3 linked regions of the Caenorhabditis elegans genome follow. The protein of the gene in region 2 purifies or fractionates together with the protein of the main gene of each other region. This does not show direct contact. Each region holds a gene or a part of one and is shown on either strand. Other genes may lie near its edges.

Region 1 (3,091 bases), on a different chromosome or scaffold from region 2:
AATAAAACTGGGAGCGAATGGGTTGGGGAAATTGACTACAATTGTGATGAAAAAGACGAGAGAGATTAGTTGAATATGGAGGGGAGGGGATTCAAATAAATAATATCTACAGAATTTTCAAAAAAAAAAGGTTTGATTTAATATATTTTGCGGTGTGAATTGTAAATTTTCGAGTAGATTGAGTCGTGGATTGTGCCTAGTTTAGCGTTGAGCTTTCGAGTGATCGATGAGCCATTGGAGGGTGATATCTGGAAAACAATTCAGTTTAGAATGGTTCAAAGATTTAAAAAATTACCAATATTCTCCTTCTCTTTGCATGAAATAGAATAGCAGCAAATCTCGCGATTCTGGATTGATGACAGATTCATTCTTTCGATCAATTGCCGCTCATCAAGTGCTCCAGGCAAATCCTTCTTGTTTCCGAGCACCAAAACTGGAATAGCGTCGAGCTGTGGCTTGTCCAACAGCTGCATAAGCTCATTTCTGGATGCTTCGAGCTTCTCCTCGTCGGCAGCGTCCACCATGAAGACGATGGCGTTGACACCGCGGCAATATCGTTCCCACATCGAGCGGAACCGTGGCTGGCCCCCGATATCCCATAATTTGATCGTCACGTTGCCTTTGGTGATCTTCCGCATATTGAATCCGACTGTTGGGATCATATCTTCTGTGAATTGGCCGCTCTAAAGTGAAGAACATTGAATTTAAATTTATTTTCCAGAAAAACTAACAGCAATAACATTGACAAATGTCGTTTTTCCAGAGTTTTGGAGCCCAACAAGTGTCAACTCCATCTCCTCTTTCCAAAAAAGACTGCGAATCCAGTCGAGAACCTTATTCACCATAGCCAACATCTTGAATATTGATGTTGAATGAGGAAATTCCTGAAAAGTGCAATTCGATTGAAAAGGGTGTGTGTGTGAGAGAGCACAAAGAAAAACAGAAGGGTTTAACGGAAAACCGCTATTAATTTTGGAGCAAGCTCGCTTTTGCTGTTGAAAAAAAAACAAGTAGAAATATTGATTTTCCTTATCGCAAAATTTATTTTGCAGTAACTTTCACGAAATCAAAACCAATGAATCATCGAGAATAGTCAACAAAACACGTGATGTCTATAAAATTTTGAGAGAAACGTTTCAAAACAATAGAATTGCTAAAAGCAGATAGTTTCATTGGATAATATCGGATTGCAATAAGAGTTTTCAGTGAATATAGTCTTAATTTTTACAAATTTCTCAAGCGGACACAGTTTTTTGCTCAGTTTGCTCGATTTTCTAAAATCTGAATTTACGTTTGTCTAACCCATTCTCAATGAATGTATGGAATTTTTGAAAAAACTAATGAATAATCAGTCTATTTCCTTGAAAATTCTCAAAAAATCGATAGAAAATCCCGAAAATCCGTCGAAAATTACGAAATCCAAAGCCAAATCAGTGCGACAAGGAGCCAATCGAACGACCGCTGACATCAAAGGCGCACGCAGTTTCGAGGACGGGTTTCGCCGCGATCGAGTGTGTCGATTTACGCAGCACGCGGCACACCGGCGACCATCCTTCACCGTTTTTCAGCTTTTCAGCGTTGAATGCACGCTTCGGAAGCCGTTCAACAACAACTAAAGGACGACTGGGATAATCGCGAGTTTGAGCAGGTTAGTAGACGGAAAAAAATGATGGAAATCGATTGAAATGTGAATGAAAATTGATTAAAAATGGTTGTTGAAATTTTTGAATATTTTTAACTGCGGTGTTGAAATAGCTTTTCACTTCAGTAGGTTGTGATTTTATACAATTTTACAACAAATATTCATGTGTGAATTCATATCTCCCACACTAACCCGTACTAACTTTCAGATTATTGCCGATAACATCAAGAACATCGCTAACTTCTTGTCCAGCTTTGGTTTGTAGAAAAATTATTATTTTAAATTAATTCCTTTAAAAAATATCTGATTTCTTCCAGAGCTCTCTTGCCGCACAAAACTAGCGACTCTCAGCGACAAGCTTAACCTTTTGGAACGAAAGGTCGAATTTCTTGAAGCCCGTGTCACCAAAGGAGATACTCTTTCGTAATAATGTCTGCAACTGCCGGAAGAGTCGTCCGTGCCGGACAACACGCCGTTCGCACCGTCGCTCCAATCAAATCCAACAATTCCGCCGAGGCACGCATGTCGGTTCTCGCCGCTTATAAGGAGTTCCAACGTCTCACTCCAAAGTTCTGGTGGGATTTCGGACTTCATGATATGCCGCTCGGCGTGTTCCGTGCTGTCATCAAGAAGCAATTCACAAAGAACGGACATCTCACCGATGTTCGTGTCGTTGACAGACTTGTCGGAGAAACTCATCAGGTTTTTGAATAAAATTTAAATTTTCTAAACTCTAATTGTCACTTTCAGCACATGAAATCGATCCGTTACGCATTCTACAACCCGGATCACGTGCGCAACTACCTGTTCGCTGAAAATGTCGAAGCCAAGCCAAAGGACTTCCTCTCCAAATTCCTCAACGGAAAGGAATAGATTTTTTATTTTTCAGTGTTTTATGTGTAATTGTAAAGTAAATTCTCGTATTTTAAATCGAATCGGCTGATACTAGAAGGAATAAAATCTGATTTTTTGACTTAAAAATTGATTTGGCAGGTTCTACGACCTAATTTTATTTCTTTTTCGATTTTTTTTGTTTATTTTGATTGAATTTTATTTTTCCTGGTAGATGATCCCTTCACGAAGTGCCAGAATCATCGCAAAGCTACAACGACTACACTCGACTACTTCAGCCGCTTCAGTATCTTCTATTGATGTAAAAGAGGTAAAACATATAAAAATAAGCTATTTATCTGTAGAAAAATTATTTTAGGTCGAAAAATTCGGAGACTTGTCTGCAGAATGGGCTGATGAACTGGGTCCCTTCCACGCACTTCACTCATTAAACAGGATTCGAGTTCCTTGGATTGTCGATAATGTTAGAAAAAGCGATCAGAAGGCTCCTCCTCGATTAGTGGACGTTGGAAGCGGAGGGGGTCTTTTGTCGATTCCACTGGCCAGAAGTGGATTCGATGTTACAGGAATTGATGCGACGAAGCAAGCTGTAAGGGA
Region 2 (4,268 bases):
GCTTTAAGGAAATCCAGAGTCTCCGCCTTCTCAACGAACAATTTGCGGAGAGTGCACCTACGATTTAGAATTTAGGAGATTTCATGCATTGGAAATGAGAAAAATGGGTGAATAGCATTTTCTCACCTTTTCTTAGCGGTTCTTGCATTTCAAAATGTTTCATAGAATCTGAAAATAAAAAAAGTTCATTCTCATGTCTAGCTTTTTTTTGAATGAATGAAAAAATTGTCTTCCAGTTAGTGTTACTGAAAAATATTTACTTAATGATTTTTTGATATATGCAAAATGCAACAAGATTTAAATTATTTTTTAAAAAAAGTTAAATTTTCTCAGCAACATGCCCAGAATCCTGCCGAAATTTTTCTTTCGATACCTGCAATACCTAAAAAGATAATTACATTTTTCTTCTTAGAAATGAATATACAAGCCCCCCTCATCGCCTTATCTGCATGAGAAATAAAAATACGCCCAACTAAAAAGTAATTCCACTTGTTTTTGCGTCAGGCTATATTCGTTTTTCTTAAAGTCAGTGTTTATTGATCTTCTTCAATTTGAGAAAATTAGTCTGATGACCTCTATACAAGGATATGTCAATAGAAACTGACATTTGGACTTTGCATAAAATTGAAAAAGAAGCGGCGGGAAGAGATGAAAACAAACTTTAATTCGATGAGACGTTTTCTGAGTTTTCGAGGAAAAAGGTTCCAACATCCTCTACACCTTTCAAATATTCCAAATTATATTTGAACTAGGTGGACACTTTAATTGTAGTTATATTTTCGTTTCCAACATCATTCACTTAAATCCGCTCTTTGAACATTTATTTCTCAATTTCTTCTCCGTGGGAATTTCAAGTGCTTTGGTTTTTTTGTAAATGCCATAAACTCATAGCTAATCCAAAATTGTATTTTATATATGTGTTTTGAGTGTGCTTTGAATAATTCGACCATATGTCAAGTGTTCGTTTTCCTTCCCTCTTCCGGAAATGTTGCCAAAATTTCGAAACTGGACATCTTCTTGTCTATCAAAAATCGAGATACAATCTTGAGTGGCTCTGTTGGGTTTCGTAATTTTCAAATTTGTTGATTTTTCACGAAAAGCGACTTATTTGGGTTTGTTATGTAATTTCATTGCGTTAATTCATAAAAATTTGAGTTTTATTTTTCTGATGATTGCATTGGTTCTGTTTTTCTCACTTTGGCTGGTTCATAGAAATCTATAAAAATGAAACTCAGAACATGTAGAAAAGTAGGCTACGCTTGTAATGTACTCCTATGGTCAACATCTTTCTTTCAACACCTAATAAATCTTTTGCACACATTCTCAGCTGTTCCAGGCCCTAAGGGAACTCAAGACGTGCAATTTCCAAGTTGCTCTCTTCCATACCAAAATGTCTCGTCTAGTTTTTTTTTTCATCATTTGTTCTACTTACATCTTGACTGTCAGTAATTTTGGGCATTTTCTAATTCTCATTCATTTGTTTTTTTTACTTTCTTTGAGTTCCAATTAAGAAACGAGATAGAATAGAAACGAGACAATGAAAAGAAAAAAGTTCGTTTAAAATTCTATTTTGTTCTGAATAACTTCCATGACTTCAGTCAAGGACAATAGCTTGTTTTGAAGGCATTTGAGATTTCTGGACACTTGCGCAATATAACTAAACAGATACGAAGCAATAGTTGAATTCATTTACGTGTCTACACACCTGGTTTATTATGTTTTTGCTGCTTTTGTTTTCTTTTATAGCAGAAGAAAGTTTTCTCCTCAAACTTCAGAGTTTTCACAATTCTCATTAAACATCCTTAAAAGTATTCCGATATTTTCTCACCCTGCAAAAGCAAAAAGATAATCCAATACCCTTCTCTCACTCCATTTCTACGTATTCTTCCGTTCATTCCTCCAATTCAAGTGCCCACTTGATCTTCCTTGAAATTCGAGACTCACGACTTCTCCTTTTAACTAGCACTTTTAACACGTTTCCACATTCTTCTAGTTTAAGATTTTTCAGAGTAACCACGGAATGCCATTAATTATGTACAAATTTCTATTAGTCACTTCAATATTCTTAATCGTTTCCGGGCTAATATTAACTGCGTTCTCGTTGTTTAGTCCTCTTTGGGAAGTAAGTTTCTAGTCAATAAAATTCTGGTTTTTTTTAAATGTCAATTTTGTAGGTAGTTGATTTTCCTCGTTCTCATTTATCACATCATCACGGTCTTTGGTGGGATTGTATTGTACATCATGAAACTTTAATTCCGTTACATGAAGATCAAGCAGAACTTCGAGGTACCTTTTTTCTGCTTTTGTTTTCTAAATAAAACAAGTTTAAGGTGATCGATGTGATAGTAAGATGGATTCTTCGGTTCAAGCATCATTAAGAGTTGCTCTTGAAAAAGGAGATGAAGAGGCCAGAGAGCTTTTGTTACATCGGTTTCTACGTAAGTTAACAATATTTTAATGCTTTTCATGTGCCGAAACTTACTTTTTTCTTTGTTAGAAAGATAAACTAGAAACTATATAAAACTGATTTACCAAATGCAGGTTCAAGTTATTTTTTAAAATAATTAGAGTGTGAGCGTAGTAGTTCAATAATTTGTTGATCAATTTTCTCTTTCTGGATACAGAAGCGTATTGGCATTGCAACGTACATACACATGTTTGGTTCCATGCTATTAATTCAATTGATTTTCTGTCTTAAATTCTAGGACTGTAATGCTATTTTTTGTAATTTAGTATTTTCTGATCTAGAATATGCGGTAACAATAAATTAGATTTTACTGTCCAAACACAAAATTACTGAAGATACAAGTTGATTTTATATTCTTCATGAAACCAAAAAAAAATTAATTTCAGCTCATCACAAAGGTGTAATTTTCTTCGCAGTTTTCACTTTTGTTTTCGGACTAATCTCCATCCTGATTGGCTCCTGTTCTCCATGTTTTCCACCAAATGCACTACTTTATGTAGTTGGTGTCTTTATGACCGGAGCATGTTCTTTATTAGCAGATATTATCTACATATTTGCTTTTAATCAGAAACCAATTTTTACAAAAGAACAATCTGAGCCACACCAAGAAGTTTTATCGAGAAGAGAACGAGGATCCATTGGACCCATTTATGTAAAAATTCGAAAAAAAATTGATGTCATCTTTTTATTTTTTTTTTCAAATTCCAGAAGCGTCTTGGCATTGCAACGTACATGCATATGTTTGGTTCCATGCTATTAATTGCTGCATTCATCTTTTCAATTTTTTGTGCCTACTTCCTCATCACTTCAAAACATGCACACGACGTTTGTTGCACAAGTCGAAAAGAGTACAGAGAGCAGACAAAGTAAGTTTAATCTGATTTGCGGATTTTTCTAAACATGTAACTTTCGTCTAATAAAACAACTTTCAAGAGTAAAATAAAGGTTTTCAGATGGAAAAACAATGGGCTAATTCTAAAAACTGGAAGAGTAAATCATCAATCACATCGGCCATTTGTAGTGATTGACGATGACAGCAGTATGTGAACTGATATGCTCTCAATTTAAAAATTCTGTGATTTGATCTCTTTATTTTGAAATACGGGTTTTTAACAATTTGATCTTAATAATGAATGTAAATAATGTTCAATTAATAAATGTAAAACAAGAAGTTTCAAAATCAAATTGGAATTTTAAAAATAATTTGTGTCTTTCCATACACTCGCATTTTCATAACTTAGTTTGTCAAAGATCGTACTTGGAGAATCGTTGCTTTAGGTTTTATACCAAACAATATCAAAATTTCTTTTCTCATCTGAAAATCAGGATATAACATTCTTGAGACTATATTTCAACCCTCACAGTTTTACTAAAACAAATCAACAGCCAAGGTTGCACCAAAGATAAACCGTCACTAACAAATGGTAGAACCATTGTAAGATATGATAACATAGAACAATAGTTGCACTTCAATAAAGCAATAGAAATTATTGTTCCAATAAGTTGGACTAAACATGTTATAGACATTATGAGTAAAAAGTTTGTTTCCGCTTTTTTTCTTTGAATATTCAGATTTCGTAAAAATATGACACTTGTAGTATTGGAAAGAATTGAAATTGCCATACAAATGCACATAAATGGAATTAATACATTGTAAATTTCTATGAATGGCTGAAACCTCAATCAAGTTATTTATTTATTTATTTTTATTTTTTTTTGTTTTGTAAAAGTTTCCGCCCACCATATTTGGGGTTTGCAATGTGTAAGAGTCGCTTTCGTTGAGATAGTCAATTGTGAATTT
Region 3 (7,066 bases), on a different chromosome or scaffold from region 2:
CAGTTAGTAGACTCAGTTATACTTATACACGTGGAAGGGGACTACCTGAAATATCGGGATTTGTTGTCAAGGAACACGAATGAACCATAGAGAACGAAGGCCGATCGGAAAACGCTAACAATTATCAGAAATCGATACTTTCTGCAAGTCGAAGAAAAGTTCATCGAAGAAAAGTGTGAGAAAGTTTCAGAAGTTTTGAGAATTTTGTATCATATTCAAAATTTGTACAAATTTAAATTTAATTTTCACCACCGATTTATTACTATACTTACCGTAGACGGAGAATCCTTGGGAAGCCATGATAGATTTTTTTTTGAAGAAAAACGAGTGTGTTTCCGCGTGGAAGACAGACTAAAAATGTTCGATCGAATTTGGCAGTCCTAAAAAGATTGAGGCCAAACGCGCGGCGGGTCTCGCAGCGAACGTGCCGCACTACGGTCGATTTTGTGTAGGTTTACGGGAGGGATATTTTGGAGAAGAAATCGGCAATTGTTGGGAAAGTGAAATGCTTATTACGTAACAAATTTGACGCGAAATATACCTCGTAGCGAAAACTACAGTAATTCTTTAAATGACTACTGTACGGGCTCGGTATTCGAAATGAATTTTAGCTTCTGTGACACAACCAAGTTGGCGAAAATTGAGAATTTAGCTATATTTTGTTATTTTTCTCAGAATTAGAACAATTTCATTGATAAATAAAAAGGACCATCTCTCCGAAACCTCGCCATTTCACGATATTTTGAATATTTTGAACAGTAAATATTGAAATTTCAATCTCATTCTATTTTCGCATTTTCCTGTATCGATTTTTTGTTTTGTATATCATTTTTTAGACCGAAAAAAATTAATATTTAAATAAATATAAAACATTTCCGGAAATGAAAATATTTCCGATGAATCACAGCGAGACACTGTATGTATTCGAGAGAGTGCAGACGCTCGCTTGCGCACTTCTCGTGAGTGTTTGCTGACGCATCCCGGGTGCACCTTGGCGCATTTCTGGATTAATGATATTTTAATTGAAAAACATGAGATTTTATTGGTTTTTCCTCGTTTTTTGCAGTTTTTCCGATGAAAAAAAACATTTTCTGACAGAAATAATAATTTTGAAGCTGAAAAACTATGTATTTTATGATATTTCGTTGGAAAATTAGGTTTTATAAGTTTTTCAGTGAATTTGTGGGTTTAGCATGTAAATGAAGCAATTTTATATGTTTTCTAGCGATTTTTCCCGGTAAAGTTACCAATTTCAGCATAATTTTATTAAAAAAGTGGCTTTTCTGTTTAAAAAACTCAATTTTATAATTTTTCCAGTGCATTTTCGTGTTTACCATTAACATTAGAGTTTTTCGTGGAATTTTCCAACTAATTTCATTGATTTTGGCTGCTCGCTTTTATGAAGTTTCCAGTGAATTTTTATGTTTAACTAATTTTTTTCACGATTTTCGTGCCAATTTCCATTAAATCCATGGATTTTTACATATTATTCAGGGAAGAAAGTGATTTTTTTTCGATTTCAAGTCATCTTCTGTGAATTCTAACGCTTTCTCGCAATTTCCACCCACATAATCCCGCAATTTCTGCACATTTTCAGCAATGCCTCTAACAAAACGGGCGGTATCACCGGTAAACCTCAGCAGAGGCACAATTCCATCAACAATCCATCGTGATGAGCTTCAATGTACTGCTAATGGGACAATCGCCAATTTAGTACGACAATTGAGCTCGTTGAGGTGGGAAATTAGGTCGGAAAACTGGAATTTTATCGATTTTTTTTTGCAGTAAGCACGCTGAGAACATCTTCGGAGAGATTTATCACGACGCAATGATAATAAATCACAAATCGAACACTCTTCAACAGAGAATTGATAGATTGCACAAGAAAGTTGAAGATTTGGATTCAAATTCCGATCAAGCAACGTTGAATGAAGCGAATATGCGAAAAGCATTCAAAAGTTCAATGCTTGTAGATCAACATATTCTGGATAGAAGCACTTTACCTACAGCATTGACTGAAATATATGCAAAATGTGATCCACCGCCGGATCTTGATGCTCTAAATCCGTATAGAGACTCTGAAATCCCTGCGCTCTCTCTCTACACAAATCCCTCGTTTTTCTTCGATTTATGGAAAAAGGAGACACTAAAAGAGGTTGCCGAACGGCCCAGACGGGTAAAAAGCCCGAACGACGGGAGTAAAAGCCCGAAAAAGCGGCGGAAGCAGCCTGGACAAGGCCCTCTCGGCACGACGGCCTATAATGATATGCAGCATAGGAATCGACAGATTAGTGGATCACGGATTAATCAGCAGAATGAAGTTTTCTCGTTCCCGGAGGAATATCAGGCTCCGCAGGCTCTCGGGCTTCAGCTTAACTTTAAAAATCAGGTAGATTTTCGCGAGATTTTTCGATTTTTTGAAGAGAAAATCTCCAAACCGTTGAAAATCGGAAAAAATCGATAATTGAGCCCAAAAATTTGAAAAAAATCGAGTTTTTTGCTGAAAAAGTGAATTTTCTATTGTTTAAAAAGAAAATCAACTTTTCAACGAGATTTCAGCGCTTACACAGCTCTTGTGCTCCCCGAGCAGGCCAAAATGTTCTATTTTGGGGCAAAATTATGGGTTTCCAGTAATTTGGAGCATGAAATTTCCTAAAAATGCACTTTTTCGCCAAAAAACAAGCCAAAATCAATGAGAAAAAGTCACTTTTTCATTAAAATCTGCGAAGATTGATAAGTTTTTGGAAAAATCGCTAGAAACCCTACAAATTAACTTCAAAAAAACTATGAAATCGAATTTTTCAACGAAGTCCCAGCTTTTCCGCTTCAAATGATTTTTTACCGTTGAAAATCGGAAAAAATCGATAATTGAGCCCAAAAATTTGAAAAAAAATCGAGTTTTTTGCTGAAAAAGTGAATTTTCTATTGTTTAAAAAGAAAATCAACTTTTCAACGAGATTTCAGCGCTTACACAGCTCTTGTGCTCCCCGAGAAGGCAAAAATTCTCTATTTTGGGCCAATATTTGGGTTTTTTAGCCATTTGGGGCTTGAAATTTCATAAAAATTCACTAGAAACTTCCAAAAAGCCGAGTTTTCACCGAAAAACAAGCGAAAATCAATGAAATTAGTGGGAAATTCCTTAGAAAAAATAATTTTTCAACAGAAAAGTGCCACTTTTTCATTAAAAATATGCGAAAATTGATAATTTTTTTTTTGGAAAAATCGCTAGAAACCCTACAAATTAACTATAAAAATCCTATAAAGTCGAAAGTTTCAATGGGAACAAATAATTTTGAAGCTGAAAAGTTATGGATTCTAGAGGATTTCGTTGAAAAATTCGATTTTATAGGGTTTTTATAATTAATTTGTACGGTTTCTAGGGATTTTTCCAAAAAAACTTATCAATTTCAGCATATTTTTAGTGAAAAAGTGAAACATTTCTGTTGAAAAACGTTTTTCATTGATTTTGGCTTGTCTTTGAGGCTGAAAACTCGAGTTTTTTGGAAGTTTTCAGTGAATTTTTAAGAAATTTCATGCTCCAAATGACAAAAAAACTCTGAAAAATCGATAATTAAGCCCAAATATCCTTCTCTGGGAGTAATTTTGAAGAAAAAAACGATTTTTTCCACTGAAAATCTCCCAATTTTTGATAAATTCAGCACCCCTCCAACATGGTTGCCCCAATCGGAATGACAATGCACCATCATCCTCAACAAAATGTGCATCCGAGCCAACAACGAGGTGGTGCTCCAGCAGCAGCTCGTGGATCTCCGAATGTTAAACGTCCGACTGAAGCTCCGCCGCCAGTGAATCTGGATCACCTCCCACCACCGGATATGTCAATTTTATCGATTGATGATGATGATGATGATCTTCCACCACCACCACCACCGCTTCTCATGAATACATCAATTGTACATCAGTTACCAGCAGAAGCTCCGTCGACGATACAGTTTGTCGAGCCGAGTGCTGCTCCGCCGACTAATGTACGTTTTGGAGCTCGAGAGAATTTGGAGATTTTGGAGTAAAATCTTGGTTTTTGCGAGGAAAAAAGCTTGCGTTTTTGCTTTAAATTGTCCGTTTTCACGACGAAAAAGCTTGGAAAAGCTTGAAAAAACTAGAAAATGTGAAAAGTCTCTATTATTCTAAGTTATTATGAGCGTTTAGAAGCCTTAAGCCTTTTTCAGGCAAAATCTCGCTTTTTCGCTTTAATTTGTTCATTTGGGCCACGAAATCACGAAAAATTGGTTGAACTCTATTAGAAAGGCTTGAAACGGCTTGAAACCGTTTGGAAAAGCTTGGAAAAGCCTGACAGAGCTTGAACTAGCTTGGAAGAACTTGAAAGAGAACGATAAAGCTTGAACAAGTTTGGAAAGCCTGACAGAGCTTGAACTAGCTTGGAGAAGCTTAAAGAGCTTGAAAAAATAGTGAACAAGCTTGGAGAACCTTGAAATGGCTTGAAAACGTTTGGAAAACCCTGGAAAAGGCTTGAAAAGGCCTGCAAAAGACAGGAAAAGATTCCAAAACGCTTAAGAAAGCTTGAACAAGCTTGGAAAAGCTTGAAAGAGCAAGAAAAAGCCTGGAAAAGCTTGTAGAGCTTAAACGAACTTGTAATAGCTTGAAAAGGCTTGGAAAAGCCTGACAGAGCTTGAAATAGCTTGAATGAGCTTAACGAGCTTATAATAGTTTGAAAAAGCCTGGAAAAACCTGGAAAAGCTTGGAGGAGCTTGAACAAGCTTGACCAAGCTTGAGCAAGCCTGAAAGAGTTGGGAAAAGCCTGAAAAAGCTTGGAAACGCCTTGAAAAAGCTTGGAGGAGCTTGAACAAGCTTGACAAAGCTTGAAAAAGCCTGACTGAGCTTGAAATAGCTTCGATGAGCTTAAACAGCTTGAAACAGCTTGAAAGAGAACGATAGTGGCTTCGAAAAGCTTACAGAGCTTAAAAAAGCCTGGAAAAACTTCAAAATGCTCGTGCGAGCTTGAAACAGCTTGTAAAGCCTGAAAGAGCTTGGAAAAGGCGTCAAAAAGCTTAGACGAGCTCGAAAAAGCTTGCGAAAGCCTGGAAAAGCTAAAAAAGCCTGACTGAGCTTGAAATATCTTCGATGAGCTTAAAAAGCTTGAAACAGCTTGGAAAAGCTTGGAAATTTGTGAAAAGCTCCAAGATTTCTTGTAGTGCATAAAATTAATTTGAAGCTATATTTCTGCAATTTCCAAGCTTAAAACCCCGAATTTTTCAGTTAAAAATTTGCAATTTTTGTCCATTTTTGTGTTTCCCTCATTGTTGTCCACTTTCCGCTTCTTTCTTCAATTCTCGATCCCTTTCAGATCCCTCCACCACCTCCACCACCACCTCCAATGGTTATAAGCTCGGCTGCAGCGTCATTTGCAGCTCCGGCTCCAAAGGTAAAGGCGCTGGAACAGCAGGGCTCTATGTGTGTCTAACCCGCTGAAAATGTGTAGTTTTCCTGTGTTTTTTGGACTTTTTTGAAGCTTTTTTAGGGACAAATTTCAAGAGAAATAGCCGAATTTTCATCAAAAAATCGATTTTCTCCCACTAAAACTGAAATTTTCAGCCATCCGCGGACGGTGAAGCTGCTGGCACAAATTCCCCAGTTGCTCCAAAACAACCAGATGCTCGAAGTGATCTTTTGGCTCAAATTCAATCTGGAATAAAGCTGAAAAAAGTGCAAAGAGCCGAGGCAGAAGCCGCCGAGAATGCTGCTCTCGAGGCGAATAATGTTGCGGCGATATTGAAGAGACGAATGGATCAAGTTATGGGAAATGATGATTCAAGTAGTGAAGAAGGAGCTGATGATGATGAATGGGATGATTAATTGCTCTCTTTTGTGTCGATTTACGCAGATCTCGTGTACTCCTCGAGGAGAAGATTCTACAGATTTTGGCTAAAAATGCTTGATTTTCGCTATTTTTTCCTTGAAAATTAACATTCAAAGCGGTGATTTTTAAGCGAAAAACCCGTGAAAATAGCTCTAAATCAAGCATTATTACCCATTTTTGCATTTTTACTGATTTTTTCGGTGAAAAAAAAAACGATTTTTCGCTGAAATTCTTGATTTTCGCTATTTTTACTTGAAAATTAACATTCAAAGCGGTTATTTATGCACTTTTAAGTGAAATCTGAGTGTTTTTAAAGTTAAAAATAAAAATAATTCATTGATTTTTGCCAAAAAAAAAACCGTGAACATTGCGAAAATGGCTCAAAATCAAGTACTTTTTTTTGCTAAAATGGTTGATTTTGAGCCATTTTCGCTATTTTCACGGTTTTTTTTTGTCGGTGAAAACTTTAAAATCGCTCAAATTTCACTTAAAACGCTATAAATAACCGGTTTAAATGTTAATTTTGATAGAAAAATAGCGAAAATCAAGCATTTTTAAGCCAAAAAACTGTAAAATCTTCTCCTCGGGGACTACACGAGCTGCGTAAATCGACGCACACTTTTTCGAATTTTCTTGTGTAAATACTGCCTTGCTTTAATTTATTTATTCAAAAATTTTTAAAATTTTTTCCGCTTTCCTGTTTCAAATGAACTGATTTTTCTCATTTTTTGCCCCTCCAGAATTGTAAATTTAAATTTCCAAGTGGTCGCCTGCCCCCTCATTATTATTTCGCAATTTTATGATTCATCAGTTTTTCCAATTTTTATTCGATTTTTTTTCAATTTAAATCAATTTAAACCTTTGAAATGTAGGAAAACTTCAATTTTCGCTTAAAATTTTCAATTTTTGGTGAAAAATCGATTTTTCCGGAAAAAAAACGTGAAATTTCCAATTTGGAGCACATTTTTATGAAATTTGCATCATTTCTCTCGAATTTACGAAAATATTTAAATTTTCAGCGGAATTTGGACATATTTCCTGGAAAACTCTTGATTTTTCGCAGAAAATTGCAATTTTTCATGCAAAAATTTGTTTTCTACGCATCGGAGCTCCAAAATTCCCAAATTATTCGAAAATTCAATTTTTAGCTTTTTTTTTCTCGAAATTTCAATTGAAAATCGTGTTTTTTGGCTCATTTTAGCTCAGTTTTCAGCTGAAAAATTCGAAATT

The links. The genes of interacting proteins can lie anywhere in the genome.
Region 1: the proteins of hpo-30 (region 2) and Y57G11C.1147 purify together in Caenorhabditis elegans (co-purification; one study listed by BioGRID). This does not show direct contact.
Region 3: the proteins of hpo-30 (region 2) and wve-1 purify together in Caenorhabditis elegans (co-purification; one study listed by BioGRID). This does not show direct contact.

The regions. Positions count from the first base shown.
Region 1 is NC_003282.8:14,795,942-14,799,032, reverse strand, and holds Y57G11C.1147 (Protein BRICK1), read left to right. Parts: upstream 1-1,518; 5' UTR 1,519-1,582; coding exon 1,583-1,648; intron 1,649-1,850; coding exon 1,851-1,899; intron 1,900-1,959; coding exon 1,960-2,069; 3' UTR 2,070-2,071; coding exon of another isoform or gene 2,072-2,344; intron 2,345-2,392; coding exon of another isoform or gene 2,393-2,515; 3' UTR 2,516-2,591; downstream 2,592-3,091. Other genes in the region: arl-8 (ADP-ribosylation factor-like protein 8B), read right to left, coding at 202-248, 296-683, 732-854; nuo-3 (NADH dehydrogenase [ubiquinone] 1 alpha subcomplex subunit 6), read left to right, coding at 2,072-2,344, 2,393-2,515; coq-3 (Ubiquinone biosynthesis O-methyltransferase, mitochondrial), read left to right, coding at 2,709-2,804, 2,853-3,083.
Region 2 is NC_003283.11:12,308,095-12,312,362, reverse strand, and holds hpo-30 (Clc-like protein), read left to right. Parts: upstream 1-2,006; 5' UTR 2,007-2,020; coding exon 2,021-2,122; intron 2,123-2,174; coding exon 2,175-2,286; intron 2,287-2,330; coding exon 2,331-2,438; intron 2,439-2,853; coding exon 2,854-3,119; intron 3,120-3,175; coding exon 3,176-3,333; intron 3,334-3,420; coding exon 3,421-3,514; 3' UTR 3,515-3,638; downstream 3,639-4,268. Other genes in the region: srg-45 (Serpentine receptor class gamma), read right to left, coding at 3,705-3,782, 3,830-4,138, 4,209-4,268.
Region 3 is NC_003279.8:11,924,041-11,931,106, reverse strand, and holds wve-1 (Wiskott-Aldrich syndrome protein family member), read left to right. Parts: upstream 1-1,590; 5' UTR 1,591-1,599; coding exon 1,600-1,736; intron 1,737-1,785; coding exon 1,786-2,389; intron 2,390-3,659; coding exon 3,660-3,986; intron 3,987-5,323; coding exon 5,324-5,401; intron 5,402-5,571; coding exon 5,572-5,832; 3' UTR 5,833-6,566; downstream 6,567-7,066. Other genes in the region: R06C1.4 (RRM domain-containing protein), read right to left, coding at 273-300.